7 separate regions of the Mus musculus genome follow, and all the other regions are reported to be linked to region 1. The links are microRNA targets in miRTarBase. Many come from high-throughput screens and were not tested one by one. Region 1 holds a microRNA gene; each other region holds the end of a gene's coding sequence.

The links. The annotated mature microRNA mmu-miR-374c-5p reads AUAAUACAACCUGCUAAGUG and lies in region 1 at 1,812-1,831, shown strand. An mRNA with a match to its seed (bases 2 to 7 or 8) in the 3' UTR can be bound and repressed. Matches are read on the target gene's strand: a 7mer-m8 pairs with bases 2 to 8, a 7mer-A1 pairs with bases 2 to 7 and ends in A, and an 8mer does both.
Region 2: the mRNA of Elovl5 is a reported target of mmu-miR-374c-5p. Seed matches in the 3' UTR shown: 7mer-m8 at 2,918-2,924 and 7mer-m8 at 2,905-2,911.
Region 3: the mRNA of Ogfod1 is a reported target of mmu-miR-374c-5p. Seed matches in the 3' UTR shown: 7mer-A1 at 2,103-2,109, 7mer-A1 at 3,122-3,128 and 7mer-m8 at 3,796-3,802.
Region 4: the mRNA of Adcyap1r1 is a reported target of mmu-miR-374c-5p. Seed matches in the 3' UTR shown: 8mer at 1,674-1,681.
Region 5: the mRNA of Ceacam1 is a reported target of mmu-miR-374c-5p. Seed matches in the 3' UTR shown: 7mer-m8 at 2,392-2,398.
Region 6: the mRNA of Sec61b is a reported target of mmu-miR-374c-5p. Seed matches in the 3' UTR shown: 7mer-m8 at 3,525-3,531.
Region 7: the mRNA of Nectin1 is a reported target of mmu-miR-374c-5p. Seed matches in the 3' UTR shown: 8mer at 491-498.

Annotation. Positions count from the first base shown.
Region 1 is chrX:103,571,275-103,575,341 of GRCm38, forward strand. It overlaps Mir374c (microRNA 374c), which reads left to right and starts at 1,811; the gene lies at 1,811-1,859. All of the region lies in intron 9 of Ftx (Ftx transcript, Xist regulator (non-protein coding)), which reads right to left. Mir421 (microRNA 421) reads right to left here and starts at 1,722; the gene lies at 1,647-1,722. It overlaps Mir374b (microRNA 374b), which reads right to left and starts at 1,880; the gene lies at 1,786-1,880.
Region 2 is chr9:77,982,142-77,986,208 of GRCm38, reverse strand. It overlaps Elovl5 (ELOVL family member 5, elongation of long chain fatty acids (yeast)), which reads right to left. Exons shown (of 8, transcript NM_134255.3): 8 at 1,690-3,544. The coding sequence ends at 3,401. Among named protein-coding and RNA genes, the nearest start is that of Gm34829, 3.7 kb to the left of the region's middle.
Region 3 is chr8:94,063,784-94,067,850 of GRCm38, forward strand. It overlaps Ogfod1 (2-oxoglutarate and iron-dependent oxygenase domain containing 1), which reads left to right. Exons shown (of 13, transcript NM_177767.4): 13 at 396-4,067. The coding sequence ends at 557. Among named protein-coding and RNA genes, the nearest start is that of Ogfod1, 29 kb to the left of the region's middle.
Region 4 is chr6:55,496,788-55,500,854 of GRCm38, reverse strand. Adcyap1r1 (adenylate cyclase activating polypeptide 1 receptor 1) reads right to left here. Exons shown (of 17, transcript NM_007407.4): 17 at 1-3,872. The coding sequence ends at 3,684. Among named protein-coding and RNA genes, the nearest start is that of Gm34441, 38 kb to the left of the region's middle.
Region 5 is chr7:25,460,049-25,464,115 of GRCm38, reverse strand. Ceacam1 (carcinoembryonic antigen-related cell adhesion molecule 1) reads left to right here. Exons shown (of 9, transcript NM_001039185.1): 9 at 216-2,414. The coding sequence ends at 335. All of the region lies in intron 4 of 4732471J01Rik (RIKEN cDNA 4732471J01 gene), which reads right to left. Among named protein-coding and RNA genes, the nearest start is that of Ceacam1, 16 kb to the left of the region's middle.
Region 6 is chr4:47,482,620-47,486,686 of GRCm38, reverse strand. Sec61b (Sec61 beta subunit) reads right to left here. Exons shown (of 4, transcript NM_024171.2): 4 at 3,454-3,712. The coding sequence ends at 3,625. Among named protein-coding and RNA genes, the nearest start is that of Sec61b, 10 kb to the right of the region's middle.
Region 7 is chr9:43,803,246-43,807,312 of GRCm38, reverse strand. Nectin1 (nectin cell adhesion molecule 1) reads right to left here. Exons shown (of 6, transcript NM_021424.3): 6 at 1-3,841. The coding sequence ends at 3,297. Among named protein-coding and RNA genes, the nearest start is that of Gm46108, 14 kb to the right of the region's middle.

The DNA.
Region 1 (4,067 bases):
CTGACTTGGTATTTTCGTGCTATCTTCTGATATTTGGGCCTGAGGGATTTTTCATTGTTGATGTCTAACACAACAAAGATTTCTGTGTATCTTGTGTATAAGGACATTAATACTGTGAAATAGAATGGTTAATGTAAACAAAATCCTAAGACAGGGCTAGCATGTGACTGAGAACAGGCACCTGTGCTCTATGATAAGGCTAACCACTTGGTGTATGAGGTTCTGTGTGGCTGTGGTTACCTCGGACAGTATTTTCCATTTTTCTCCCTTGTCTAAGCCCCAGGGGCAAATATAAAGCAGGCCAGATTTCTAAAGGACCAGTCATGAAAACAATGATTATTAAATCAGCGTTGAAGTTCAGACACCAGGGTCCTTTCCTCAGGAGCTGGGTCAGTAAAAAGTCGTTTGAGGACGAACTGTGCAGTCCAGCCAGGCTCTGTCAGTTCCCTAGACTCTCTTGTGTGGTTTACCTTCTAAAAACTCAATTCCATCTCTCTATCATCCCAAACAGCGAATGGAAATTCTACATGAGTTGGATGTTTCGTGATACTAGAATGGTTTCTATCTGTGGTGGTGTAACATGCTAATCTTCATCCCTCTATAGTTTATCTTAAAAGATGAATTAGAGAACAGTGCAACTTTCTAATGAACATGTGCCCATGTCTATAATCCTAACAATTGTGAGGCAGCAGCAGGATTGCTACAAGATTGGGGTCTCCTTGATCTTTGTAGGTAGTTACTAGACAGCCAGGACTACCTAGCAAGAAACAAAGAAGGAAAACCACAAATCTCGTGCTTCTTAGAGTCCATGCCAAACCTCAAATCCTTTCACGACCACTCCAAGTTGTCTTCTTCATATGTCTGCCTGCTCCAGTGAAGAGATGGATCCTTTCATAGAAAGCTATTCTAGCAGGGTGTACATTCTGCCCTCTGTGGTGCTTTGAAGGAACACCGTGGCCCTACCTCATGTATTTGAACACTCATATCCCAGGTGGTGGCTACATTTGGGAATGTAATGGGACCTTTCAGAAGGAGAACCTTGCTTGAGGTGTGTCACTAGGGGCAAGACTGGGGTTTTCTACCCTGGTTCCACTTCCTGTTCTCACTTAGCTTACCACACTGAGGCCATGCCTGCTCTGTTACTATATCCTTCTGGAGCTATGAGCAGCAATAAAATTATAAATGGAGGTATGGGGAAAGCGGGTAAAGGAAAATGAATACCAACCATAACAGCACACCCCAGATTTTAAAGACGAAGCTCCTACTCAGTGATCACTGTAGTCCAACCTAGGGAGTAATCGGTAGCGATTATAGTAACAACAACAGAGATGCAACAATGACAAGCAGGCATTTCCAAAACACAGGCATAAATACAGTATTTCATAGAAAATATCACATTTATGGTACATGAGCTATTATCCCTTCCTTCCACACCCTCAGGATAGAAAAGAACCAGATATGGAATCCTTTTTATAAAACACAGTCGAGGCACAATTATCAATCAATTGGAATTGGTTTGAAAGGTAAAATATATCCACTATGATTATACTACACAGAACACAGGAATGAGCTGCAGAAATAAGGACGCTGCGGAGAGCTTGAACGTTGAAGGCCACTGGCAGGAACAAGCTGAGCCCATGGAGATCACAGAGCAGGCGCCCAATTAATGTCTGTTGATGATTCATTTTTTCATTCAACAAACATTTAATGAGGCCTACAATGTGCACCGGATTAGGCACTGTGAGTACAAAGTCACCATCCTTGCCCTTACGGATTAGTTTGATAGACGAGAGCCATAACCTCGGACAATGATAATACAACCTGCTAAGTGCTAGAACACTTAGCAGGTTGTATTATATCCACCCGAGTAGGATTTCTTCAGAGGAACACCACTCCAGGTTGCTGCGCGATCCATGAAGTTCTCCTGATCACCAAGGCCAGCTGTTGTTTCTTGCTCTCCAGGGATGACAGTCACAAGAACTAACATAGCTAGTTATCAGTTAGAATTCGGCTTCAGGTCAACTGTGACCATTCCCCAAACATCCTTTTCTGTGTTTATACAAAAACCTTTATTCAGCTATAACACAAGTTTTCAAAAGCTTTTAACTTAGAACAAAGAAGAAAGGCAATAGATTACTAATCAAGAGCATGAATGGAAGAATCATCGAGTTTCCTACATGGGCTAACTTCACATTAGTGAATCATTAAAAACGTCCATGATCCCTCCCCACAACACCATTGACCATTCAAAAGGTATAATAATAATTAACTTTCTTCTTTTAATTCTTGCATTGCCCGCTCCATCATTAACAGCAACAATAACTAAGATAGCATTGAGTGGACGCAATTAACAAACAGGCCAGCTAATGCCTATGCCCAAACCCTAGAGTCACTGTTTGCATGCACACTTCAGAGCTTCCTTTCCCAAATCTGAACCATTTACTTAAGTAAAATTGTCCTCATTATAAATGCATTATTTGAATAGTAAAGATCAATACGATAGGTCTGAGTAGAAAACATGTTCATAGATTTTGTTGTTTGTTTCAGTCAGGGACTTGTTATGAAACCCAGACTGGACTCAAAGTCAAGATGGTCTTCCTGTATAAGGACCCGAAATGCTGGGATTCTAGGCATGTGCCAACATGCCTTGCTTTATAATGCTTTGAGATCAGAAACCCTAGAGTGGATATTACACATATCTGATGCTTCAAAGTAAAGCAATGAACATTTCAAGTCTCTAAACACTTCAAAAGAAAAATAAAGTTCAGGAGAAAGCCTGCCAGTGACAAGAGACTATTCAGATGAGAATGATGGGGCACCGCTGCTATCTCCGTGTCTTACTGAGGATTGGCAGTTCCTAGATACGGCTCTTCTATGGAGAAGAAACTAAATGTATATCTAAGGAATGAGAGGATGGCAGCTATCCATGACAAAAAATTCCTTCCCTGTAAAACTCTCCTCCATATATCCTACCCCAAACCTCTTAGCGAGTAACTAGTCAGCCTGTAAGGTTTAATCTATATACCTGAATATCTCTCATCTTTGGGACTAATTCAATATCCTGACTACTGAGAGAACTGAATAATAATAATAATAAATGATTTGAACTGTGGACAAACATTTAGATCAACATGAAAAAGTGATCTGAGAGGGAAACAGACTCTTAAAAAACCCCTTGTAGCCCCGACAAAAGTTACTCATGAGTTAAAAGACATTTGTTGGCAGCATTATCAATAAATAATCTTAGCCTGGGGTTTAAGATTATAGGGTAATAAGCACCTTGAAATTGAAGACCCTTAAGGTGTATCTATATTCATAGTTAGAAGTTTAAAATGGACAGACAATCTGGTATAAATCGTCATGTCTCTGAGCCAAGTAGGAAGATGAACAGCAGCTCCAGTGTCTTGAGCCCAATTCTCATCCATACTCAACTAAACACAACCTTGCAGTATAACCCATTTTCTGGCAGTCCCTTAGACAAGGAGCAGAAAATACCTTTAAACGAATTCAAGGCCAATAAGGATGTCTGGATACAAATTTCTCCAACAATATGTTACTGAAAACTTAAGCCTTCAGAACCACTGATTAAAGTTTGCATAAAAGCTACATTACCTAACATAGTAAGAGACTATCAATCTTTCTTTCATTCCTTGTTTACCCTGTTGAGACAGGGTTGCTCGATGTAGCCCTGGCTGTTCAGGAACTGGCTTTGTAGACAAGGCTGGCCTTGGATCATTTCAAGGTAGACAAAGGGAATGTATCCTTGATGTGATTTTCCCATTTACAGATTATGTTTATAAAATACTGTTTGTAATTTTCATTGTCAGCTATTCCAAAAACAAAATGTAGAAGTGAATAATATTGCCTGTTTTTTTTGTGCTAGAGATTAAGCCCTTTGTAACACACATGTTGGGGACATGCTCTACCATGAGCAGGCAACAGGAACATCCTCCAAAATGCTCTATCCCACATACCCAGAGTTCCTGCGCTTGTTTTCTACATATATATTAGATATGCAAGGGTAGACTATAGTCTTCCTGGTGCACAGAATTTTTATGATTGTGCTT
Region 2 (4,067 bases), not on the chromosome of region 1:
GAGCGGTGTTACTCCAACCTCTCTTCTCTGTCTTCTCCTCACTTTCCCCTTTTGATGAAAGCTGTTTTCTATACAATCCTGGTTGGCCTGTAACTCTAGGCTGGCCCTATTTGCCATCATCTTCCTGACCCTGTCTCCTGATTGCCTACGTACTCGGCTATTTTGATTTTTATTACTCTGATTTCTGTGTCTTATGTTTTTCTTTTGTTCTGGACTTAAGGGAAAAATACTGATTTGATTCTATCACCATTAGCCAATCTCCAATGATCCCCTTGGTCATCCTTTAACGTGCCATTTACTAGTGTTAAGTGTTTTCCAGGAGATCTTGTAAGCTGTTATTTACATACACAAAAGCTCCAGCTTGTACTTCCAGCTGTGGTGGGAAGGGGGGGGGGGAGGAGGATGGGGCACTTAAGCCGTAAGCCATCAGTGTCACTGTGAGAGATGAAGCATTCAAGATCACCTGCTTCCCAGAGGCGTGGATAGGACATAAAAGCCTCAGGTAGGTTGGGAGGGGCAGGATTTGGAAAAGCAACCATTTGTGTGTGTGTGTGTGTGTGTGTGTGTGTGTGTGTGTGTGTGTGAATGATGAGACTTTGGGATGAAGGAGGGAACGCACTTGTCTCCGGCGTGTGTGTGTGTGTGTGTGTGTGTGTGTGTGTGTGTGTGTGAATGATGAGACTTTGGGATGAAGGAGGGAACGCACTTGTCTCCGGCAGACTCAGCAACTCATGACACGGGTCTTCTGTTTTTTTTTCACACAGAGTTCCAAGGCAGCCACACCCATTTACCTTCGTGCCTGTGGCTGTTTTGTACTCTACAATGGCTCAGATGAGTAGCTTCCACGGAAACTGGAGTGCTCCCTCTCTTGCTCTTCACAGAAAAATGTGCAGACCTACTGCCTACAACGAGAAGTTACTCTAACAGTCTGCAGATGAGGGAAGAGCATGGGATGCCAGGAAGGAAAGGAGGATGCAGGAGCGTGCTCAGAGGTGAACCCTCTAGCAGGGGTGCAGGGGAGGAGCTAGGGTTGTTGGAAGACACTGAGATTTATGCTCTGGGGTCCTCTGCCATGGGAGGTGATAGCAATTCTTGGTTGCCAGCTTGACCACATGCAGAACTGACTACAACTCAAACTGACTACGCCAGTGCTGGATTTTGTTCCTTAATCATCTGAAGTGGGAAGACCCACTTGAGATCTGGATCTCTGAGGTAGAAACCCACCTTTAATCCAGGCCCTACCTGCTGCTGGCAGCCTCTCTCTAAACAGGACAGAGAAGAAGGAAGCCCTCTTCTCTTTGCCTGCTTGTTCTCACTCTTGCTAGTGAGTCCACTCAAGCAAATCCTTCGCTGGCATTCGACGCGACTGCTCTGGAACCCGTGTTTCCTGAAGAGCAGCTGAGACATTTAGCCTCGTGGACTAAACAGCTACTGGATCCTTGGATCCTCTGTCTGTAGATAGCCTTGTTGGACTAGCTGGACCACAACCTGTAAGCCATTCTAATAAATCCTCCCCCCACCCCCACACTCATTCTATGAGTTCTGTTTCTCTAGAGAGCCCCCAACTGATACAACCACTTTCCACGCTACATTACTCATGTCCACTCCCTAAGCTCCTACAAGGTGACAGAGTTGACCATCCTGCAGTCTTTCAGAACTGTCAGCACATCAAACAACAGAAGACACAGCACGGGTAATCAAAAAGGTTTTAATGATTAATGTTTAGACATTATTTAACAGTGTGGGTATATCCAGATGAGCTAAGCACACTTTGACAGCACACTATCAAATGTTATAATTTTTGTATTGAGATATGTAAAGACACCTGCAGACGGGTACCTAGGGAGAAGACACACACATACACACATTCTAGATCTGACAAGGGAAATGTAAACAGATGCCGCAACTCCTTCCAAACAGAAAACCCACAAGGCTAATTAGGACCAACTGGCTCCTTGTAATATGAATGTGCAAAATTAAAGCATGGTAAACTGGTATTTACATAAATATCAAACCCACAATTAGTTTATACATTGTCAATCATCTCCTAAGATGTGCCATGAGTGGTTCCATGGATTTTTTACCAATGCAGAAGGTATTCAAAGGCTAAGCTTTCAACACTTTAAAAATGACACACATGAAAAGAGTCCCCATTTGTATGACCGATGCCTCGAGCGCACTAGACACGATTTTAGGATAAGCAGTCCAAGCACTTTAAACCGATCTTTAGGTGCTAATCAGAAAAAAATTACAGATGCCACCATGATTCACACTGAAAAAAGCGGTTGCTCCCAAACACCCAGTTCCTGCGCGCTCCAGCTCTTAAATTTTACCTCAAAATGCTTATGGTGCTTCCTGGTCTCTTGGTAAATTAGGCACATTTTAAAAGGAAGTGTATGTCAAAGTAGCACTACAGAAAAGAATAAAAAAAAATGTGGACCCAGGTAACCAGTCCCTTATCACTGTGTGTGTGTGTGTGTGTGTCTGTCAGATAATAAATGTCTCGTCACCTTTCCTGAAAGGTAGTTCTCTCTCTCCAAGTGGTGGGAAGTCGAATGGCCTTTTTATCTCCTGTATAAAAACACTAAGCACTTCAGAAGTGAAAAGTGACCTACTCTTATAGTCACCCTAGCCTCTGGGGGACCAGGGACAGGTACGTAAGTGTCTCCAGACGCTTTGGACCCTTTCCCCACCTCTTTAAACACATTAATAGTGGCACTCAAAATAAAAAAATAAGATCTGTTAAAAAGTTAAACTGACTGTTCCACTAGACTTGAACCTGCTTATTTAAAGCCATCGTTATAAAACCAAGGGTGCCATCAGATTTCGCATCTCCAAGTCACTTGAAGTTACACATCACACACTTGTTTCATAAATCATACATTTGATTTTTCTAAACAGAGCTAATACAAATGAATAATACAAAGTTGAAACATACCCTAATTAAACTAACAAGCTCTGGGCCCTGCTTTTTTAAGTCTTAAGGCATGTGTGTTTTTCTACTGTTAACAACATTGTACAAATTTACAATCACATGCATGGTCTACAGTTAAAAAAAAAAAGTTTGGATTACAGTGTTTTAAATTGTGAACCACAATTCAGCACCTATCGTGTTACAACTAATAAGGCAACAGCAGTGTTGTATACTACAAGAACATTCCCTTTCCACAGTCTAGCGCGGGGGTCGATGAGAGCCCAGAAATGTGAGAAAATCGTATGCCTACTTTGTATAATCTGTATACATATTCTAGGGGTTTTGAACTGATGAAGAAGGTCCTACATGAGTCACACTGCAGATAGTAGGGCCAGACTAGTGACAGCAGCTGCTATGAGCGTCAGGGCACAAGTCACGCTGTGCTTACAATCACACGCCGCGGTCTGGAGGCTTCGGCTCGGCTTGTCAATCCTTTCGCTGCTTCCTGGGCTTCACGCTGTTTTCCAGGGAAGGGAAGCTGTTGGTGTGTCCGTTGACGGCGGCCACAGACCCGTTCTGGTGGCCCTTCAGGTGGTCTTTCCTCCGAGAGGCCCCTTTCTTGTTGTAAGTCTGAAATGTACAAGGCGAATCAGTGCCTGCTAACCAGATGAACTGTACCGGTCTGTATCTCACTAGGCCTGGTTTCCTGGTCTGATCAGTCTCACCACGTATTTCCTGTGCTCAAATAACCACTTTATGTTCAATCACCCTTGCGACTTTTTGAGGCTTAGCTCAGAGGTTCTGACCCCCTAGACCACAACAGAAACACTTAGAACACCGAGTTTCTGTTCATTCGGCTTTGCCTCTTCAGGATGTGGATGGTGGAGCAATGGCCTAGGGGACCAAACTGGCTTCTCCTCCTGGCTAGTAGCCACTCTACATCACAAGCCATTACTTATCTTTATGTTTTTCTTATTGCCTCAGTAACCATCATGTACAGTACAATGGGCACCAGGAGCAATTGGAAGAAGGTCCTATTATCAGGCCCCGGCAAAGCAGGAGTCAACAAGTCACACAAAGCTACGTCGGGGGCACAGAAGACAAACAGCAGCTGAGTCTCCTCCTGGTGGCTGTCCACACTACTGGACTTTTC
Region 3 (4,067 bases), not on the chromosome of region 1:
TCTTAGCTGATAAATCCATGCTGGCCTGCCTCGAGGTGGCTCTGATTTCACAAGAATATATGGGAGCTTGCAGTAACTCAGTAAAGCGAAAGGAAATTCAGCACACACTGTTGTGCCTTACTGAGAGCCTGAGTTAAGAGGCTCACACCCACCACTCTTTCTAGGGAGTTGGAAGCAAACACATTAGGCCAAACCGTTTCCGGGTTTGTGCTAGTGAGGCAGAGCTTGTTGGGAAATGTCTAGACAGAAACACACCTCTCCTAATAAAAAACTCTTTGGGACCTCCTCCCCAGCCTAAAGAGTCACTATGGAAACCACCTGCTCTGTGATGACTCCCCCGAGCGGAGCGGAAAACGAGCTCTGGGTTCTGACATCTCTCGTGTTTCCCGTTACAGCTGCTCATAGTGAATCCAGAAAACAACTCTTTGGCGTTGGTCTACAGAGACAGAGAAACGCTGAGGTTTGTGAAACACATCAACCACCGCAGCCTAGAGCAGAGCAAAGCCTTCCCAAGCAGAAGCGGCTTCTGGGACTTCGCATTCATCTACTATGAGTAACAAGATGGGGCAGAGCCAGCTAGCATTCACTCCACCAGTGCCAGGAACATGGGGTCTTCGTGGAGTGAGGGAGAGTGGGGCATGCTGGGTAACAGCGTCCTCCGAGCAGGCTGTCCTTGCAGGCTGTGTGGGTGCACACCTGTGATGCCAGCCTCGGGAGGCAGAGAAAGGGGACCTTCAGTTCCCAAGGTCAGTGTGGCTTACACGGTGAGACCCTGTCCCCAAGCAAAACAACTCTTGGTCATCCTTTCAGAAAATTCATCTAGACCTCATGCTAGAGCTATGTACTCGTCCCTGGGTTGCAGAAAAAAATGTTTTCCCCCATTGCAATTCTCTTCGTTCTGTAGTAACTGCCTTGGCGACTTTCTAACTTTGGTGATTTTTTTTTTAATTTATGGTGTATATACAAAATTTAGCAGGGTCACTTTTTTTTGGCTTAGAGTTTGGTTTGGTTTGGTTTGGTTTCTTTTGACAGGGTTGTACTATGTAGCCCAGGCTAGCTCTGAAGTACTGATTCTGCCACCTCAACCTCCTAAGTGCTGGAATTGCAGGCATGAGCCACTGCACCAGTTCCTGCATGTGCAGTCCGTGGAATTGAGCATACTGAAGTGCTCCAAAGCACCCGTCACTGCCATCTGGAAAACACCCAGACCTCATAGGAAGTGGAAATGGTTTTCTGTCTTCCCATAGGGGAGTGCTACTGCCCTTCTTTGATGACTGTTCGCCTCATGAGTGAATCGTGCAGTGGGTCTCGCTTCCTGATTGGCTTGTTTCACTTAGCACAGCGTCCTCAAGGCCTATCAGTGTTTTTCTTCTTCACTCCTAAGTAGTTGTAGAAACTTGCTGAGCCCGAGAGCTGTGACACACGGTGCTCCCACTGTGGGCTGAGCTCCACCCTGACTCTGAGGATAGGGTACCCTCGGGGAGGTAGTGTTGCTCTTTTGGAAGAGGTCTGCCTGAAACCTAACATAGCTCCAGGAATTCCATAGCTGCTTACTGCCCTATGTATTTCCTCTCGTCTACTGCCTTCCAGACCTGGCATCGTGGCTTCTCTGAGTCTAGCCTCCCAGTGACTATGCGTTCCTAAATGCTGGAAGGCCGGGTGTGGAACTTGCTGCCTTTCCCTTCCTTTTGAAAGACCCCCGTGCTAAAAGGCAGTGTCAGGAGGAGAAGTTCAGGAGGAGAAGCCCTCCTTTTGTCTCTGGTCTTTCCCCTGAACTGCTCCATGGGGCTGTGGCACAGCTCTTCCCATTGTGGGGGTGTGCATGATGGCTGAGAGATGTCCTCACACCACCCCACACCACATCTATTTGCTGCTTTCTTGGTTCCTGACTATCCTTGCAGGTTTCAGTGTGGACTTTACTTATCGGTAGGAAAAACGCTGGACCTTTAAGTATCTTATTCACACTTCTCTGACGTCCTAAAAGTCCATCCAAATGCATTCTGTCTTTTACATTGGCTTTCAATTTGTTTTGTTTACCCAGTCAGTAAAACACACTTTAACATTCATATCCTAGTAGATACTTACAAGTTTTATATGTTTTGGTATTAATCATAAAACAAAGTAATTTTTAAATAATGACATGAGAATATCCAGACCTAAACTGAGGGGACATACTTTAATCCCAGCTTTTGGAAGGTAGAGGCAAGAGGATTAAGAGTTCAAGACTATCCTCAGCCACACAGCGAGTTTAAGGCCAGCCTGGGCAGCAGTACACCTTGCCTCAAAAACAAAGATGGAGCCAGGAGTGGGAAGCACGCATCTTTATTCTAGCACTCAGGAGGCAGAGGCAGGCAGATGTGTGAATTCAAGGCCAGCCTGGTCTACAAAGAGAGTTTCAGGACAGTCAGAGCTATATAGTGAAACCCTGATTCAAAAATTAAAAACAAAAGACTCTCCAGACCTAGTTTGAGAGTTGTCTTCCCACGCCAGGCAGTGACCAATGACAGGCTGTTGCCCACGCATACTGTTGTAGACTCCACCGCACTTTAATCCAGAGTAGTGCTCAAGTTGGACTACGCATACTTTGTTGCTAACGGTTACTTTTGAAGCTTGCCTTTTCTGAACTGCTGCAGACTAAAGGCAGGCCCACTCCCCCACCCATCCCACCCTCACTCCCCACCCCCCATTGAAGTGCCTGAGTGGGAAGAACTCTGAAGGGTCCCTCTGTCTTTGCAGAGCCTCCTGGTCTGCAAGAACAATAGAACCTACAGGTTGCCTTTCTGCTCTAGTGAGCAGCTGCGTTTTTCAGTTGCCATGTGCCGCATTGTTGATGTATGGGTGAGACAGATGGTGTATGACAGTGAGCCCGTACGTCTACAGTGGAGCTGAAAGATGCCTGAATTCCAAATCACTCAAAGTCACCGAGAGGCTAGGGAGAACAGGCAGCTGTGCACACAACTGTCACTCACAGGCCACCACCTTATGTGTTCACTCACATGACCTGCTCAGAGTGTGTGCTGTTAAAGCGCTAACTCCCATGTGCAGACAACACAGGTGGAAAGCAGTGAGAATGAAGACAATCAATAAGTGTATGGGCCTGTGTGTGTGTGTGTGTGTGTTAGTATTAACAGAAAATTCAGAAAGGTTAAAAATGAAAATAACTCAAAATATTTTTGTACAGCTATACAATATAAAGTTATAAGTCAAAGTTTAAAATAAAGTTCTATTGCATAAGCTAAGGCTATTGAAGATGGAGTATTTTTAACGTGTCGTCCATGTTGGAAGGCAGAAAAGCTTCCACTTAGTCTGTCCAAGAATACTGTCACGTTTGCACAAGTGATCTTGCCTCAGTTTGCAATTGCTTCATTCTTGATCCTGATTGCTTGCTGCTTTGGGCATGGGGCAAGAGAGTCAAATGTGGGCTCTCAATACCTCTTGTTGGTAAAAGCTATGCTGCTTTCTGTGTGACCAATGGCATGTCTCTCTTAATAATGAGCCTCTAATTCTTTCTTGTTTTCTTATTGATTGGTGTTTTCGAGAAGGGTCTATGTATACCCTAGCTCTCTAATTGCTAAGATTCTAGAGTACCACGGTGTCCAGCTGTGAACTTCCAGTTCTCATAACTCCTTTTCCTAAAGGTGATATTCCCTCCAAAGATAACAATACATAAACAATGCATGTTCATTGTTGGGAATTTAAAAGTGTGGAAAAACACATAGGTCAGCTGAAACCCCTTGCCACCACCCTTTGACAACTGTGTGCTGCCGTAAGCGTGTCAGCATGGCCACCCTGCCCTGTATTAGGAAGCATGGCTCCTCTCTGCCCTCTCTTCCCTCTCTCCTGTTGGGTAAATACAAGGTTGTAAGGCACTTTGTCAGGCTGGGCTCAGAGGGAGCCACTAAGGCCGCCGCTGCAGACAAGAATGAAAACAGTTTTCAGTGGCTCCTTAAGAATAAAAAGGAGCAGCCAGAGATGCGTTTGGAGATCTGTATTCCAGCTAATGCTACCCCAACTGATAGACTGCCTTTAGATTTGTTTTCCCTTAATATAAATGTTTACACATACAT
Region 4 (4,067 bases), not on the chromosome of region 1:
GGTGTTGTTTTCAGAGCTTGCAAACTCACAGGGAGCATTTTACCTCCACCTCATCCCTAGCTAGAGGGTAGATGATGGTGTAACCACGGCCACCTCATTGCAGAGCAGGGATCCAGGTTAGGGAAGTATAGAGTCCCAGAACAGATGGAGAGGGCCAAGTTTGCTAGGGGGTATCCTTAGACCAGGCCAACTCAGCTGCTTCTCCTGCACTGTACTGTGGACCCCTGGGCTTTCTGCAGGTACAGCCACTCCTGCAAAAGGAACATTGCATTTCACAGCTGCTTGGAGTGTTACATCTGGCTCACACGCAGGGCTGTGCAATACCGGTACAACTCAATGCAATGCAATTCAAAAACAGACTAGGCCCAACTGTTTTCCCAGCTCCCTAGGCTCAAATGAAATTTGCAGTGTCAGGGGACTTGCTGTCCTCTCTTGGAAGTGGGGCAAAGGGTACTCAAGGAATTAAAAAGAGAGTCTCTTGTAGCTTTCCCTCCAAGGAAGAGAGAGTGAAGACCAAACAGCAGAGGCCCTGGTACTGGGCAACAGGTTCAGGTTTATTTCCATCACGACACCCTAACCAAGCCCCATCCCAGAGCTATGAGAGGAATCACTGCGGGATGCTGAGCATGTCAGGGAGGACCTCCTCGCTGCACGCAAGAGTCGTCAGAGCTTAAGCATAGTGCATACTGGGGCTCAAAGCTGAGCACCTCTAAACCCCTCTGGCTTCCTGGCAGCCTAAGGATTCCTCATGTGGAATCCCATGTTCTGAGGACCTTTCCTCACAACTTGCTCCTTACCCTGCAGTTGGACAGCTATGACAGGAGATAAGGACAGGGATGTCCTGATCCCCAAAATGGGACAGTCCGTTTGGCCTTTAAGGTTTCATAAAACAAGCCCCCACTTCTCAGGAATGACCTTCCACAGCTGGGTACCCCTTAAATCTGCTATGTTCCTGCCTCCAGGTTTCCAAATCCATGAAGCCCTTTGCACCTACCAGACAGAATTTCCTTATCGTTTTCCCTTTTCTGGGTCCAGGCTATATTGCTGCAAGCCTTGCCTGGGGCCCATTCCAAGAGAAGATGGTTGGTGTTTAGACAGAACCCCAGAGGAACACTGGGATACACACAGATCAATAAGTCTTATTGCTTGCACTATGTAAGAAGGTCAATAGGGAAGGGATTTATCCAGCCTTGTGCTGCCCCATCACTGCCTACAGCCTGAGAGCCAGACCCTCATGGAACAGCAGAATCCTTCAGGTACATCTGCTCACAAGACTAAGAAAAAGATTCCTTCAGACAGAAAAACAAAGCAACGGGAACCTGGAAGTTCTAGGAGGACACAGGCCCAGGGCTCAGAAAGCAGCAGGGCTCGGGTTATTCGGTTTTTGCTGTTTTGCAGTAATGCAACCAGAAAGTCACAGTTTCTCCTTCCACAGTGAAGCAGACCCACTGGCGGGGGTGATGGCAAGGGAATGGGGTCCATAGCCCAAGGGGTGCACCTCAGATTGAGGGGGCCACAGGCAACCTGTCCCTGCCTGGTGTAGAAGGCTATTTCTGCACATCATGCCTGAGGCTCCCATTCAAATGTCCATGGCCTGAGGCATGATAGCTGCTCTACCAGCTTTGGATACCATGTGGCATCCAAATGGGAAAATAAACAGGATGTCATCCCTCTTAATACACACATGCACGCACACACACACACACACACACACACACACACACACACACACACACCCCTTAGATGCTTTTCACAAGGATTCATCTCTGTTTACCTGCCTTAGTTTTTAACTAAGGCAGAACCTGGAAAAGCACTAGAAACCACCTCACTTCATAAACAAGGAAGCTGTGGCCCAGCACAGGGCACATTGTGTTCACAGTCATGAACCCAGCTGGAATCCTGAACCAAGGCTTCTAAGCAGCTCAGGCTCCATTGAAGTGTCCAAAGTGCAAGGGGATCAACTGATTCTTGTTTGGCTGATAACCTGGTTCTCAGAACAGGGGAGGGGATGGAGGGGAGAGATAAGGTACAGGGGGGAAAGAGCCAATGTATATACTCAGGGGTTGGTCCAAGCCACTGAATGTTTCTGGGAAAGAACAAGGAGGCCCTTTCTCTTTCCAGCTTTGCCAAAGACCCAAGAGCATACTTCACTGGTCAAGAACACAGAACACATCTCTAAATCCTATCCATTAGAATCTTCTCCAGTCTTTCCAATGGCTCCTCCAGAAGCACTGTCTCGAATATCCTAAAACTCCTTCTACTTAATATAACAGCGAGCAAGGCAGCACCCCACACTCCCCATGCAGTTCAGAGCACAATCATGAACAAGTTCCTCGGAGGCAGGGACAAAAACAAGCATCTACACGGAATAAGCTGGGCCCCGTGGCCCCATGGCACTACTTTTTTTCCCCCTCTACCTTCCCAAATCTGGGTGTGGCCTTATTTTAAAGTCTTAGGTTATGGCTGTGCAACTTGCAGCTGGAGAGCCAAGATGGGCACTAGAAAGCCACCACTCCCTCTACCAGCAGCTTCTGCCTATGCACATGATAGACACCATATCACCTCCAAACACCCTAGGAGGCCCCACAAGTGATTCCAATGTCAAGGGCACGTGGAGAAAGTCTTGCAGACAAATCCGAGTTTAGTAATTGAGTCCAGGCTGAAGATGGCATGTAGGATTCCTTGTAATCAGTAGAGGGGGTGGGGGTGGGAGCACTGTGGAGTTCCCTGGACCCAAGACTTGGCTTATGAAAATTGAAGGTTGCTTCAGAACTCATTGATTTTACTGCAAGGTGGCTGGCCCATTCTAGACATGGCTTTGATTAATGGGAAAACAGAGAGGGGAGAGCGAGGGGCTTTCTGTGGTTGTTGTGGCTGGAGAACAGCTTCTTCAGGCCATCCATGGTGGGCAAGAAGTGTAGAAATAAAGCCACCACATGATACGGTCTTGAGTCAGGGCACAGTCATGGACGTGGTAAGTTCTTCAGCTATCCCATCTCCTTCCAAATTGAATCTGCATTTCTGGCTCTCAGCTCTTAGAGCACAGGAAAAGCACCAGAACTTTCTCTGACCCTCACCCCACCTCAATGTAAGTCTCTGACTGAAAGAGCCCTAGAGCCCTCTCATCATCCAGGCACACAGGAGCTGAGCACCTGGACAACTTAGATGTAAGCCAAAGGAGCCTCAGGTTGACCTGCTCCAAAGGATGCTCATGACACTGAGCTGCAGTACTTGGTACAGGCTGAGAAGGGTCCATGTCCAAAGCCAATTTGCTGAAAGGCTGCTGGGGTGTTCACTGCCCCAGTCTCTCCAAAGCAGGCATGTTTCAAACTCAGTTCACAAGGCCTTGTACCTGGGATCAGGCCATCACCGAGGCTGGCCTTGACCCAGTAGGTCAAGCTGGGACCTGGCAGAGGTGAGCAGGGGCATGGGTTGGGGGGGAGAGATGGGGCAACTTTCCAAATTTGAGGTGTATTTACATATCAAATTGGGCTCAGTGGACCACAGTAGATGGGACCCAAACAGGAGGGGCAATATCAGCCTATACCCTATCTCTCTCTTCCCCTTTGAGGAGGAGCCCAGCTTCCTACCCAGGGCCTGCCCAAGGAGAGGGGAGAGGCACAAACATGCGCAGGCACTGGCCCGCAGCCCCAGCCTGTGCAGAAGAAGAAGGGAGACAGGGCTCAGGTGGCCAAGTTGTCGGCCGGGAGGCTGGACATGCGGAGCTGGGAGCTGCTCTTGCTCAGGATGGACAGCTGGGTGCCCCCGTTCACTCCACTGCTGGCCAGGGATGGATGCCGGTGCTTGAAGTCCATAGTGAAGTAACGGTTCACCTTCCAGCTCCTCCATTTCCTCTTAATCTCTGCCTGTACCTGCAATGAGCAACATTCATGTGGCTTCCCAGTACCTTCTGTGAACTGGCCTGGCGCTTCACCAGCTGCCATCGCATCATGGCTGCCCACCCACCTCCCACACCCCAGCTGTTTCCATCAGCTTTGCCCTGCTCTGTCTTGGCAAAGTTCCTGCTGATTGGGCCTCTCCAACACCGGTTGTTGAGAATTATCAAG
Region 5 (4,067 bases), not on the chromosome of region 1:
CTGTCCTCCTCCCCAGACACACATTGCTGTCACATTTCCTACAGAGGGCAAAGGCAGTCTGACAGTGCACATCCTCGCACACATCTGGCTTTCATTCTGCTCTGTAGCCCATCTGGATGTCTGACTGTGAGTGACAGGAGCCCTCTCCCACCGCTGCAGCAAGGTGAGGCTCAGGCCTGTGGTGCTGAGTCACTGATCAACTCTCATCCTTTCAGGTGGATGACGTCGCATACACTGTCCTGAACTTCAATTCCCAGCAACCCAACCGGCCAACTTCAGCCCCTTCTTCTCCAAGAGCCACAGAAACAGTTTATTCAGAAGTAAAAAAGAAGTGAGCATAATCTGTCCGTCTGTCCTGCTGGCTGCACCAGTGATGCATTCCCGGATTCTGTTCCTCACTGGAGGGTCTCAGCACACACACACACGTACACATGCGCGCGCGCACACACACACACACACACACACACACACACTTACACACACACTCATGCATTCACTCTATTGACTCCTTCAGTGTCTATAGAAGAAAAGGTGGATCCTGGAGCCTACAGAAAACTCAACCCTTCTAGGCTTTCAAATTTGGCTGAGAGTGAGGTATCAAAATTTCTCACCCTTTCACTTTCCTGACCCAGATTGTTGAAAATTGACCTATTCAGAGCACCTTCATTCCCCTCCCAACTCCAAGTCCTGCCCTATCAGAGTCTGACTTGAATTTCCATAAACCTTGGAGGTCACCTAAGTGCTTACGCCAAACAAAACAAAACAAAACAAAACAAAACAAAACAAAACAAAACAAAACAAACCAGAAGCAGGAAATGGCCAGTCCCATATCTTTAAAGGCTGATTGGAAGCCACCATACATGAGAAGATCAAACCTCCATGGGCAATCTACACACCCGACAACTGTCATGCTTACCCATCTGGGACATTCGAGTCTCTGAACCTTGTGCCCTCACGCCTGAGCCCTTCTCTGAGCCTTTCTCCAGAAAATCCACTCACAGCAACTAGAGAGGCTCTTTGTCAGCAACTCCAAGCAAACTGCTAGGCAGGATTCAGAAGAAAAGACAGCATCTCTAACATCCACCAGGAAGGTGCCCAGAAAAGCAGAGCTGGTGACTTTGGACTGACAGACATCTGGAGTGTGAAAAAGCAGCACAGAGCTAACCTTCGGAGAGTGTTGAAATTATTTGAAAAGAAGCCATATTTGGAGGTATTGGAGTTTTCCTCTTTCTGAGACAATCCACTATTTGAAAATTGTAGCTACTGAATTGCCTCTCAGTATGCGAGCTGATCACTTTGCCTTAGGGCCACTAGATTTCTGTCTCCCTTAGCCCCTCAAGCCCTTTTGATCATGAGTTCCAAACCAAAAATAAATAAATGAACAGTGAGGCAGTCCCTTGCAGTACCACTGTCATGGGTCAGGCTAAGCCTCCTGCTTTTCTGAATTAGTCAAGAAAAGCCTTGGTTTCCCTTTTTCCATCTCTTTATCTTGTCTTTCAGATACTGGCCAGAGCCTGGACACTCTTCCTCTGAGATCTCCAGCTTCTCTGCCTTCTTGTGTTTCTTTTAAACTCTAACAAAAACTGTTCTCACCTTCAAAAAATAAAATAATAACAAGCTTTCCACATCCCCACCAAAGAGGGACCCAGCTAGGTTTCTGGAAACCCAGCACCAGCCTCCAGCTGCCCTTCTGCAGTGTTTCTGCCTCTGTTTCCCTTTCGTTTTGACTTTTTTCCTTCTTTTGAGACAGAGTTCCAGCATGGAGCCTGTGCAGGTTTCAATCCCACAGTAACACCTTCTGCAGCACCCCACCTGCTCAGACTGCAGCCCTGGCCACCAGGCCTGGCTACCTGGACATTCTGTCTGCCCTGCACTCTCAGGAAACCTTGGCCTCTGCTACTGTCTGTTTGGCTCATTCAAAGTGTGTCCTTAAAGGAATGCAGTCACCCATGCCAGAGGCAGTGTTTACAGCCTGGAATGCTCTGCACTTCCAGTGGACCAGTGCTCCACCGGAAGTGGGCTGTTAGCAGGGTCCTCTCACCTGGCCCTGGCCTTTCTGTAGCCTTGAATCCTGCCTTCCCCACCAGGGCACCAGGGATGAGTGCAGCAGCAGGAGGAGAGGCAAACAGTCACCTCAGGAACCTTCTGAGCTAAGGCACACCCTCTGTGCCTGTCAAGCAAAGGTTGTATTGGATATCAAGTGTTTGGTCTCACGCCAAGCCAACAGGCTTTGGAGAGAATTAATTAGTTCTCCTACTCAGGGATTTCTTTCAGTCCTAACACAGCCTGTGTATATTTTGCTTCACCCACGCAATGCTGGATTATTTAATTTTGCCCGGCTTAAGACAAATCTGAGTTACTTGTAAATTTGCTCTATGTTCATAATAAAAATGTATTATATATCACTGATAGCACTTTGTGGGGTTTTCTGTCTATTTGTTTCTGGTTTTGCCATGCTTTGGATGGAAGCCAGGGTCTTGCATGTGCCAGACACACGCTCTACAACTGAGAAACTGACACAGAATACTAACAAGAAGGGAACAGGAGGTGCTGGAGAGAGTTCAGGGGGAGGGAACATGTGGAGTTGTTTGTGAGTTGAAAGCTGCATTATTGCCTTTGAGTGTCTGGAGCCACTTGGGTGGGAGGAGTGGTTTACTGTGGTGGAATCCCCAAGGCTTCAGCCACTCAAAGGCAGTACTGCAGCCCTCAACTCAGAACAATCTCCACACTGAACTCTCTCCAGAACCTCCTGTTCCTTTCTTGTTACTACGCCCTGTCTGTCCTCTTAAACCTCTGACCTGAATGAGTTGCACAAATTAATGCCATTGAGTGTTACTCTATCATTTCATGTCCTTCATTTGCAAGCCATGCAAATGCAAGTGTGGCCTGCCCTTCCCCACCCCATTTCCACACCCGAGACACTGGAGGCAGCGCAGACTGCACTGGGATGGGGTCAAAGGTGTGCTAGCCTCACATTGAGTTTTCCATCATCTCAGACCTCGGTCAGAGATGCTGCATCCACCACCAACAACATATTGCCCTGATGCCAGTCAGTTCTCAGATGCTTTCGGTGTCCCCTAACCCACCCTCCGCTCAGCTCGAAGATCTCAGCCAATGGCTGTTGCATGTATTTCTCAAGCCCCTACCTCCTCCTGGAAGTTATAGCACCTGCCTTCAAATAATTTTTCATTTAAAAAGGCTCATGGCCCTCCGCACAATAATTCCTTTATTTTACATTTATTTTATGTGTGTGTTAAAGCTGTTTGTTTTTTAAACAGAGTCTCCCTATATAGCCCTGGCTGACCTGGAACTTCATCTGTAAACCAGGCTTCCCCTAAACTCACAACAATCTGCCTGCTTCTGCCTCCCAAGTGTTTGAATTAAAGACAGGAGCATCAGACTGGGTCCCCTAATGGGTTTTTTTCAACCATACACATATTGTATGTCAAGTATGTTTTCACTTCCCCATCACACCCTCAAGTGATTCCTAAATTCTCATCAGATGTATCCCCTACAACCCGATCCCCTCTAGCCTACGCACACATATAAATCTTCGTCCCAGTGCTGTGCCCAAGACGACAAGCAGCATGCTTCTCCCTTGTGGTTACCCACACCCTTCGTCATAAGCAGTTCCACACTGAGCATCCAAGTGAGGACAATAGATTCAAGCAGGACACAAACTGTGTGTGGTTGACAATGTCTCCCTGATGGCCAATGTATATTTTCATGAAAGATACAGAAATGAGAAGATGGGTCCTTTCTCTAGGGAACAGAAATCCCTAAGACAGAAGACACAGATAATAACAATTATACAAAATTTGAAAGGGACAAATGTCTCAAACAAGACAGAGAAGTTAAGAGCTGAGGGGGCAGCTCAGAGACAAAGCACCTGCCCAGGAGGGTGGGGCTCTGTGTTTGATCCCTAGCACCAAAGGAGTTTACAGAGAAATCTAATGGAAAACAGAAAATATGGCTACATGCTGGAATCATTGAGAAATCTGTTAAAAGTGCTCAGGCCCCATTCACAAACTCTACCTTGTGAGGGCCCCTCTCTGTGTGGTGTCTCC
Region 6 (4,067 bases), not on the chromosome of region 1:
GCCTCAAGAGTATGTTGTCAGCCAGGCCTAGTGGAGTATACCTTTAATCCCCAGCACTTGAGAGGTAGAGGCAAGCGGATCTCTTTAAGTTTGAAGCCAGCCATGTCTACAGAGCTACCCAGCACCCTGTCAAGAACAAGGGCACACTCCCTGCATTCATGAGCTCCGCAGGCTCTGCAGTACTTCCCAGCAGATGCAGCCCAGAATTATAGACACCTTTGGGCATTTCAACCTAGTGCCAACATTTGCATGATTTCAGAATGTCTTGTCCAACTCCTGTGGGGTCCTGACCCCTGGAATCTAGACTAGAATGGGCGTAGGAACAGGAGAGGCACACAGCTGCCATCATCCCAGGCCCACCGTGTTCAGAGTTAACACTAGGACCCCAAGATGTCCCATTCTCAACTAGTTTAGGGACTCAGGCACTGTCCCCAACATGGCATCTCCAAGAACTTTGAAGGCTCAGCCTAAGCTAGTGTGATAGCAGTTCACTTTGCTGGGACTGCTGCCATCAGAAGCCGTTAGAATTGTAACCCACATTAAGGGGCCTGGAAGCATCCGTCTCAGGGCCAAGAACACCGTAACTCAAGTAAAGATCTAATGTGTTAGGATTTTACAGGGGCTATAAATAAAAGCCAGGGGTGGTGATGGCACATGCCTATAATACTGAGGCAGAAGGATTAAGAGTTCAAGGATAGCCTAGGCCACAGAGGGAGTACACACACACGCACACACATTATTAATGGCTCCTAAGCATTATGAGTTTAAAAAATAATTTTCAAAAAAGCAGCATAAGAAGTAGCATACATATATAATGAAATTATCTCTCTGCCTAGAAAGAAGCAAATTCTGGCAAATGAAATCCCATATGGAGGACATAATGCCAATCAAATTAAGGTCACAAACACGACAAACACTGTGTGACTCCACCTGTAGGAAGAACAGCCGCACCATGAAGACAGTGATGGCAGTCAGCTGCTCGGAGAGGGCAGTTTTGCAAGATGACAAGTTTGGGAGGCAGATAGAGAGAGCATCCTACAAGATAAATGTACTGAATACCACTGAACAGTAAGTTGAAAATGGTTAAGATGAAAAATGTTATGTTATGTGTGTTTTACCACCAAAAAAAATAATTTTTTTTTTCTGATAAAAAAGAAAGGAATAGCTTGAACACCACGTCTCTCAGCAACAGTATTAGCATTGTACCGCAGAGCCAAAGGCAGCTTCGGAATACATGCTGCACATCTTTCCATCCAACTCCCAAGCTCCCTTCCTTTCCTTCTGCTGACTGAAGCTTGCCCATCCTGCCAGTGAGAGCGCACATACCTTATAACTCATTGGCTCGGAAAACGCATCAGGTTTCCCGCTACCATTGGGGACCAGGCTAGCCAAGCCAATGCAGCAAAGAAAGCCATGTGGTTGTAATATGTCTACCCTAGAGACAGTTAACAGACACAGGCACACACACACACACACACACACACACGTTTCTTTTCCAAATTAAAGTTAATAACTTTTAGTTTTGTTTGGTACCTCTAACTGGCTACGGGGGAGGGTGGGATTCTATTATGGATATTGTTGTCTTTTTTCCAAATGAATCGAACTCTGTTTCCTGTGTTTCAAAAAATAAAAACACCTGTTTAGTGCAGTAAGATATTCACAGAATCCAAGAAAACCAGTTTTCGAGCCATTTTCCCTCAAATAAAATGTCTGCTAAGACTTAACAAGTGTAAACCTACTGATGTCGCCATAAGAAATCTTTCATGGAGCTGGTGAGACGGCTCCTCAGGTAGTGGAGCTCGCTGAGAAACCTGATTATCAGAGACCCAGAACATCCATGTGGAAAAAGAGAACCGACCCCCCCAAGTGTCTCCTGCCCTCCACACATGTGCCTTATCATACACTTACCACCCCGCCCACACATAACTAACTAAATTTAATTTTTAAAGATAAATCTTATGACGAGACATAATGTAGCATGTACAAAGCTCTGGATCTGACTACTTGTAACATAAAAGACGGGAGACTAGTTAGAAAGAGGAAGGAGCCAGCCAGCAGAGGACAAGAGAAGAGAGCAGTGACTAAATACTTTATGCACACATATAGAAATACCAATGAAAGCCAGCATTTGGTACAATACACTACTTAGTATCTCAGGCAGCTATGAGCCACCTGGTGTGGATGCTGACCTCTGCAAGAGCAGCCACTACTCCAGGCCAAAGGTTGATTTTTAGTTTTTAAGTCTGTGCATCTGGAAGCCAGAAGACAGTGTTGGATGCTCTGACCTGAAGCTGTAGAGTTTCGAGCCATCTGACGTGGGTGCTGGGAACAGAAAGCAGGTCTTCCGCAGGAGCAGTGCACACCCTCAACTGCTGCCATTCAAGATGGCCTCAAGATGTTTTTTACGTTTATTTCTCAATTCATGTCTTTATTTTACTTGAGGGCATACACGTAACATGACTCATGTGGAGATCAAAGAGCAATTTGTGGGGATCAGTTCTCTCCCTCCACCATGTGGGTCCCAGGGACTAAACTCAGATCATCAGCAGACAGTTTGCCCCACTTGGGCCATCCATCCATTCCCATGGCCTGTTTTACAGATGCAAAACTTGCACGTATCTTCAACATTGATCTTGGTGGACAGTCAGTCCCTTCTTCCCTTCTCTCTGGGCATCCCAGTGTGGAGCCTTTGGTTCCTGGACTGCCCTGCTGGGGTGATTCCCAGAACAGTAAATGCTATTTGTACTCAGTGGGCAGCACAGGGGAAGACAAATCCCAATATTTACTTTTGGACACAATCATTTAGATAGTAGTATATAAGTGCTGTCTCACTCCTGTTACAAAGTCTTTATTTTTTAAAATGAAAACAAAATTATACCAATAAATCCACTTTCTCAAATCAGTACTTTCAAAGTGGGTTTAGAAATGAGAGATCAGTGGGCAGAAATCCCCAAGGGACATGTGAACAAGAGAAAAAGCAAACAATTGCCTGGATTTTAGACACAAAGAACTGAATGAGCCAGGGCTGCTCAAGGAGTGGAGGCAGGAGCGTGGCAAGCTCCAAGAGTCTGAGCAACACAGCGAGACCCCATCTCAAAAAAGTAAAAACAAAACAAAACAACAGAATGAGCCGACGCCCCAGCCAAGACTCTTGGTTTCTGATTTCTTTGACTCTTTACCCTCGGCACCACCTGTCTCACATACAGATCCCTGATGGCAGTCCAAGGCACACTTCTTGAAAACCAAGTACCCAAAATGACAATCACTAGCACAGAAATACCTTGGGAAAAACATGCCAAGGCCAATTAGAGCATCTTGAGTTTGAGTGACTACATGGTTGTAGGAGGAACTGCCAATCCTGCAAAGAATGAGCTCTGTAAGAAAGACCTATTCACTGCTACATCTTAAGGCAGAGGGCCCTCACAATAAAGCACAGGCAACCAGTCTCCATATAAAGCAATTCCAAAGTTTATTAGCCATAGAAAAAACTGATTTCTCAAAGTCAATTCTTATTCTCTGTAAAATAATACACGTGAACAGAAAATCACTACACTTTTGGTCCAAGATATGTTGGGTTTTTTTCCTTCTTCTTCTTCTTCAGATGACAGATGGATGTAGCCCAATCTATGATCGCGTGTACTTGCCCCAAATGTGCAGCATAAATACAGCAGCGATGAACAGAAGACTCATCACCAGCACTGGGACAGGGCCCCTGGGAATGAGAAGAGAAGTCATGCTTACTTCAGTCTCAAGGTAGGCTTAATACTCACGACTGCCGAGGGCAGCACATTATACACAAACGACGACATCGGATGTCCTAGAGATAATCCCTCAGATATGCTAATTTTGTGTACTTAATATGTTCTACAATAAAAAGAAAAATTTCCCAAACTCTTATGCGCAAAAAAATCTATTTGCAAACCTTCTCAAATTAACATGTATTGAGACAACCTTTTCCGTCTCACTACAGTATGAGACATACAGGTGAACTAGCACAAAATGCTTGTGAATCTATGATCGAATTCAACCTGCAGAAGCTCACGCATCTCATGAGTGAGACAAGTATT
Region 7 (4,067 bases), not on the chromosome of region 1:
AGGACCAAAGAGGAAAACAGTGACATAGAAACTGAAGCAAAGGAAGCTTAGTCACACTCAGGCGAGGGTGGCAGCTTCTCCTGGATTTTGTTTCCATTTGTTAAAAAAAAAAAAAGTCACCCTCTTCCCCCCAGCCCACTCTTCACAGCTGGGGTCAGAAAGCAGCATCAGCGAGGCTGGTTCCTCACCTCTCGGTGTCTCCGGCCCAGGTCAGCTGGAGCCACCTGCCCTCACCAGGAGAGGGTTTCAGTTGGCAGTTAGGCTTGGGGAAGTCTCTACCTGGACTCCTCCAGAGGCCTGGGAGCACCCCCCTCCTCCCAGGAAAGGATGCAGTGTCTGCTGGGCTCAGAGGGGTGGCCTCACCCACCTGACGTGAGTCCTGATTCTCCCACCTGGACGATGGCAGGAAGGTTATTGCACCAGTGACTGGGGCACGCTGGGGTGGCTGGCAGAGGGTGCGCCTTCCCAGGGCTTGGGGCCCGAGCATTAATTAATACAGGTTTCTCGTTTATGTGTGTACTTGTGCACACACACACACACACACCTGTGCTTGGTCTGTGGAAGGCGTGTGTTGGTGTGCTGGGCGTGTGTTCACTAATTGTGTGTTGCTGTATTTCAGGTCCTTCTGGTAAAAGAGACTCAGAGGGTTGTTGCACACCAGAACAATACCAAAATCTGTAGGGAAACAGGGGTCCAGGGGCAGGGGAGGGACAGGAGGGGGAGGGCAGCTAGGGACGACATCCGGAGGGGTCTGGGCAGGTAACACACCAAGTTTACTCTCCGCAGTCTGGCAGAAGCTCAGCTGTGCTGGGGGGGGGGGGCATGAAGGTGAAGCAAAATGCCCTCCGCTCTGTCACACTGTCAGCTGGCTGTGTCCACTGTCCCGCAAACACAGGGCAAGAAAAGCCCCTTCTCCTTGGGTCCAGCTACCGACCCCTGACTCCTGTCCTTTCTTAGCCCAGGTGGCGGCCGCCTGGAAGCGCTCAGTGCCACGGCTGGGGATCCTAGATCCTGCTGCATGGACCCTATAAATTGTGCTTTGCTTCGGGGAAAGGCGTGCAGGTTTGTACAGGGAGCTTAGGTGCTTTGTCCAGGCCCAGGGCCTCCTCGATCCATCACAAGACAGGGGATAGGGGATGACCGTGAAAGGTGCGAGAGACTCGGGAGGGTGAGTCTTTCAGTCTTATGGCCCCATAGGGACAGAAATACCACTCTGGGGCAGTCAGGGTTCTGCCTCCTGCCTTGGGGGTGGGGGAGGGGGACCAAGGAGAGGGGCAGAGTGGTATGAGGAACAGGATGAGCTGTGACATGGAAAGGACACTAATACTTCTGGGAGAAGCAGCCCAGCTCCTCCATCTTCCTTCTCCCTGTGGCTAGAAAGGCCCCAGAATTTTCTTCCCCAAACTTCACCCCATCCAGTGTCCCCAATGCCAAGACGGAGAGCCGCCCCAGGGCTGGCATGGCTTCAGACTTCTGCTACGTGGCTACTGGGCGGCCTGGGCTGGGACTAGGGCAGTGAGGGCCTGGCAGAAGAGCCCCAGCTGGTGGGCTGAGTAAGGGGTGCCAGAGATGGCGCTTGGACTGGGAACTCAATAGCAGCACCAGGGAGGAGTGGGGTGTGGGCTGGGGCTCCCTTAGGAAGCCTATGGCAGGGTGGGTCAGTGCCCGTAGGGCACAGAATGGTCTGCCTCCCTCTCCCCAATGTTTGTGATCCCTCAGCGAGTGTCACTTAGGGCTGAGTTGGCTGAGATCCTGACAGGCAGGCCCTGGGAATGCCCATTTAGAATGAGGGTAATCTGGGGGCACAGATGGAGAAACCGAGGCACTTTGAGCTTGGGGACAGAGGGCTGGGGTGAGGTGGGGTGGGGAGACCTTTTTCCATGCACTCAAGGGAAGGCCCAGCCCCGAACGGCTGACAAAGCCAGAATCCCATTCAAAGAGGGAGACTGCATGCAAAGGCCCTTCTACACGGCCATCTTGCCAGTCTGGCACCAGGAGAGAGTGAGCAGGGGTCAGTCTGTGGATACGCAGCAGGTCCCCGGTGCCCCTGCACTTTCTTTGAGACCCGAGACACATCTAGGCCAGCCTTCCCATATGAGACGCTAGCAGTCCCCCTTCAATTGTGTTTGCAGTTTCCACAAAGCAGCCTTCTCCGTCTCAATAATTCTGTGCCTCGCATTCCTTCCTGGGATCCCAGCCCTGACTTTCCAGAAGAGTCAAGTGTTGCTAGCACTTGACAGATAAGGAGAAATCCGAGAAACATGTACATTGTCAGGAAAGGTTGGAGCTACACTGAAATTGTAGAGTGGCTTTGGGGGTGGGTGGGTGGGTGCGGGAGGTTCATCCTAGCTGACTCTGAATGCTTCTGTGGGCTGATCCCTTCCTGAGCTGGGAACGGGTAAGAGGTGGAGCAGAGGGTTGGGCCTCGGGCAGTGTTCAGCCTGGGCAGGGCGTGAGAGGTTGGCATAGGCCCAGGGATGTGTGCATGGATATGTGTGCATATGTTGGCAGAGGCATATAGGAACTGTGGGTAGAATCCACCTGGGGTCACCCACTGTGTACAGAACGGACTGGGCGTTAACAGAGAGGGGTATATGAGAGCTACGCCAACTCCATTTGGGGGGCCAGAAAGAAAAAAAAAAAGAAAACATAAAACCACCCTCACCAGGAAAACACACTGCCCAGGACCCCAGCAGAACCCTCAGCTCCATTATTCCCCACACAAGACTCCCCTGGGTACCACGGAGAACTCCTCTAAAACCTCTTAGGTGCACTGACTGCATCAGCTTAGTGGGGGCTTGGGTTACATCTTTCTGAGAAGAGGAGCAGCATATCGGGTGGGGGTGAGGGTGCTCTCCATCTCGAAGCTCCCTTTGCCCTCCATTCCCAACGGAGAGAACACAAACAAATTCCAGTGTTGGGGGATGGGGGTGGGGGGGTGGGAGAGGACTGGCTCCCCAAACCCTGGAGGGATGCCCAAGTACACAAGACAAGAACAGGGCTCCCTACACACAGGGCAGTGGAAGGGGTCCTTAAAGGAAAGGTACAGCAACACCAAAGCCACGGTCGAACACAACACCAGGGGGAAGGGTGGGTGAGGGAGGAAATTAAAAAAAAAAAAACAAAAAACAAACAAAAAACAAAAAAACGAAGCCAAGTGGGGTCTGCCCTGAGCTCCTCTGGCTCCTCAGGAGTTTGGGGCTGGTTTAGGGCAGTGGGCTGTGGGGGTGGGCAGGGGGGCGTGCGGGTAGGGGCCTGGGAGAAGTGGGCACAGACAGAGGCTCCAGAAGGCGGGGCTACACATACCACTCTTTCTTGGAAATGAAAGACCCGTCGTTCTGAGAAACCATGTTCTCAGCCAAGTCCAGCTGTTCAGGGTCATACTGGTAGCCCAGAGTCCGGTCCCCATAGCCGTCCTGACGGGCCTCAGCCTCATCCACAGTGAAGTAGGGCCGTTTGGCGTCCTCGTCATATTTGGGGTGGGGGCCGCCCACCTTACGTTCGCCTCCTCCACCGCCCTCCTCCTCCTCTTCCTCCTCATAGCTGCTCCCGCCCAATGGGCCGGCCTTCTTTTCATCATCCGAGTCATCCGGGTACTGCAGGTTCTGTGCCATGGGCGGGTGATGCTGCGGGATGCCTGCCTTGCTGTAGCCGTTGCCGTACACGTGCTTCTTGGTGCTGTAGTCACCCTTGAAGGTGTGCCGGCGCCTGCGCAGGGCCACTATGATCCCTCCGACCACAATCAGCACCAGCAGGACACTCCCTGCCACGCCCCCAATGATGGCTGTGGGCATCTGCCCGGCGCGCCGCCCGTGTTCAGGAGTCGGGGTGTAGGGGAATTCTGGGTGAGGAAAAGAGATGGAGGGGGTTGTGTCAGTGTCTGCTCTTCAGAAGTCAGCGGGGGTGTAGGGAGGCAGGGGAGGGAAAAGCCCAGGACAGGATGTCCACACCCCGAGTTTGAGCAGTTCTGATTCCAGAGGCCCCTTAGCACCCCACCTTCCTGAGGTCAGCTGCAGCACTGGGAGCCAGGCAGGCGAGAGGAGCAGAGGCAGCTGATGTACCCAGAG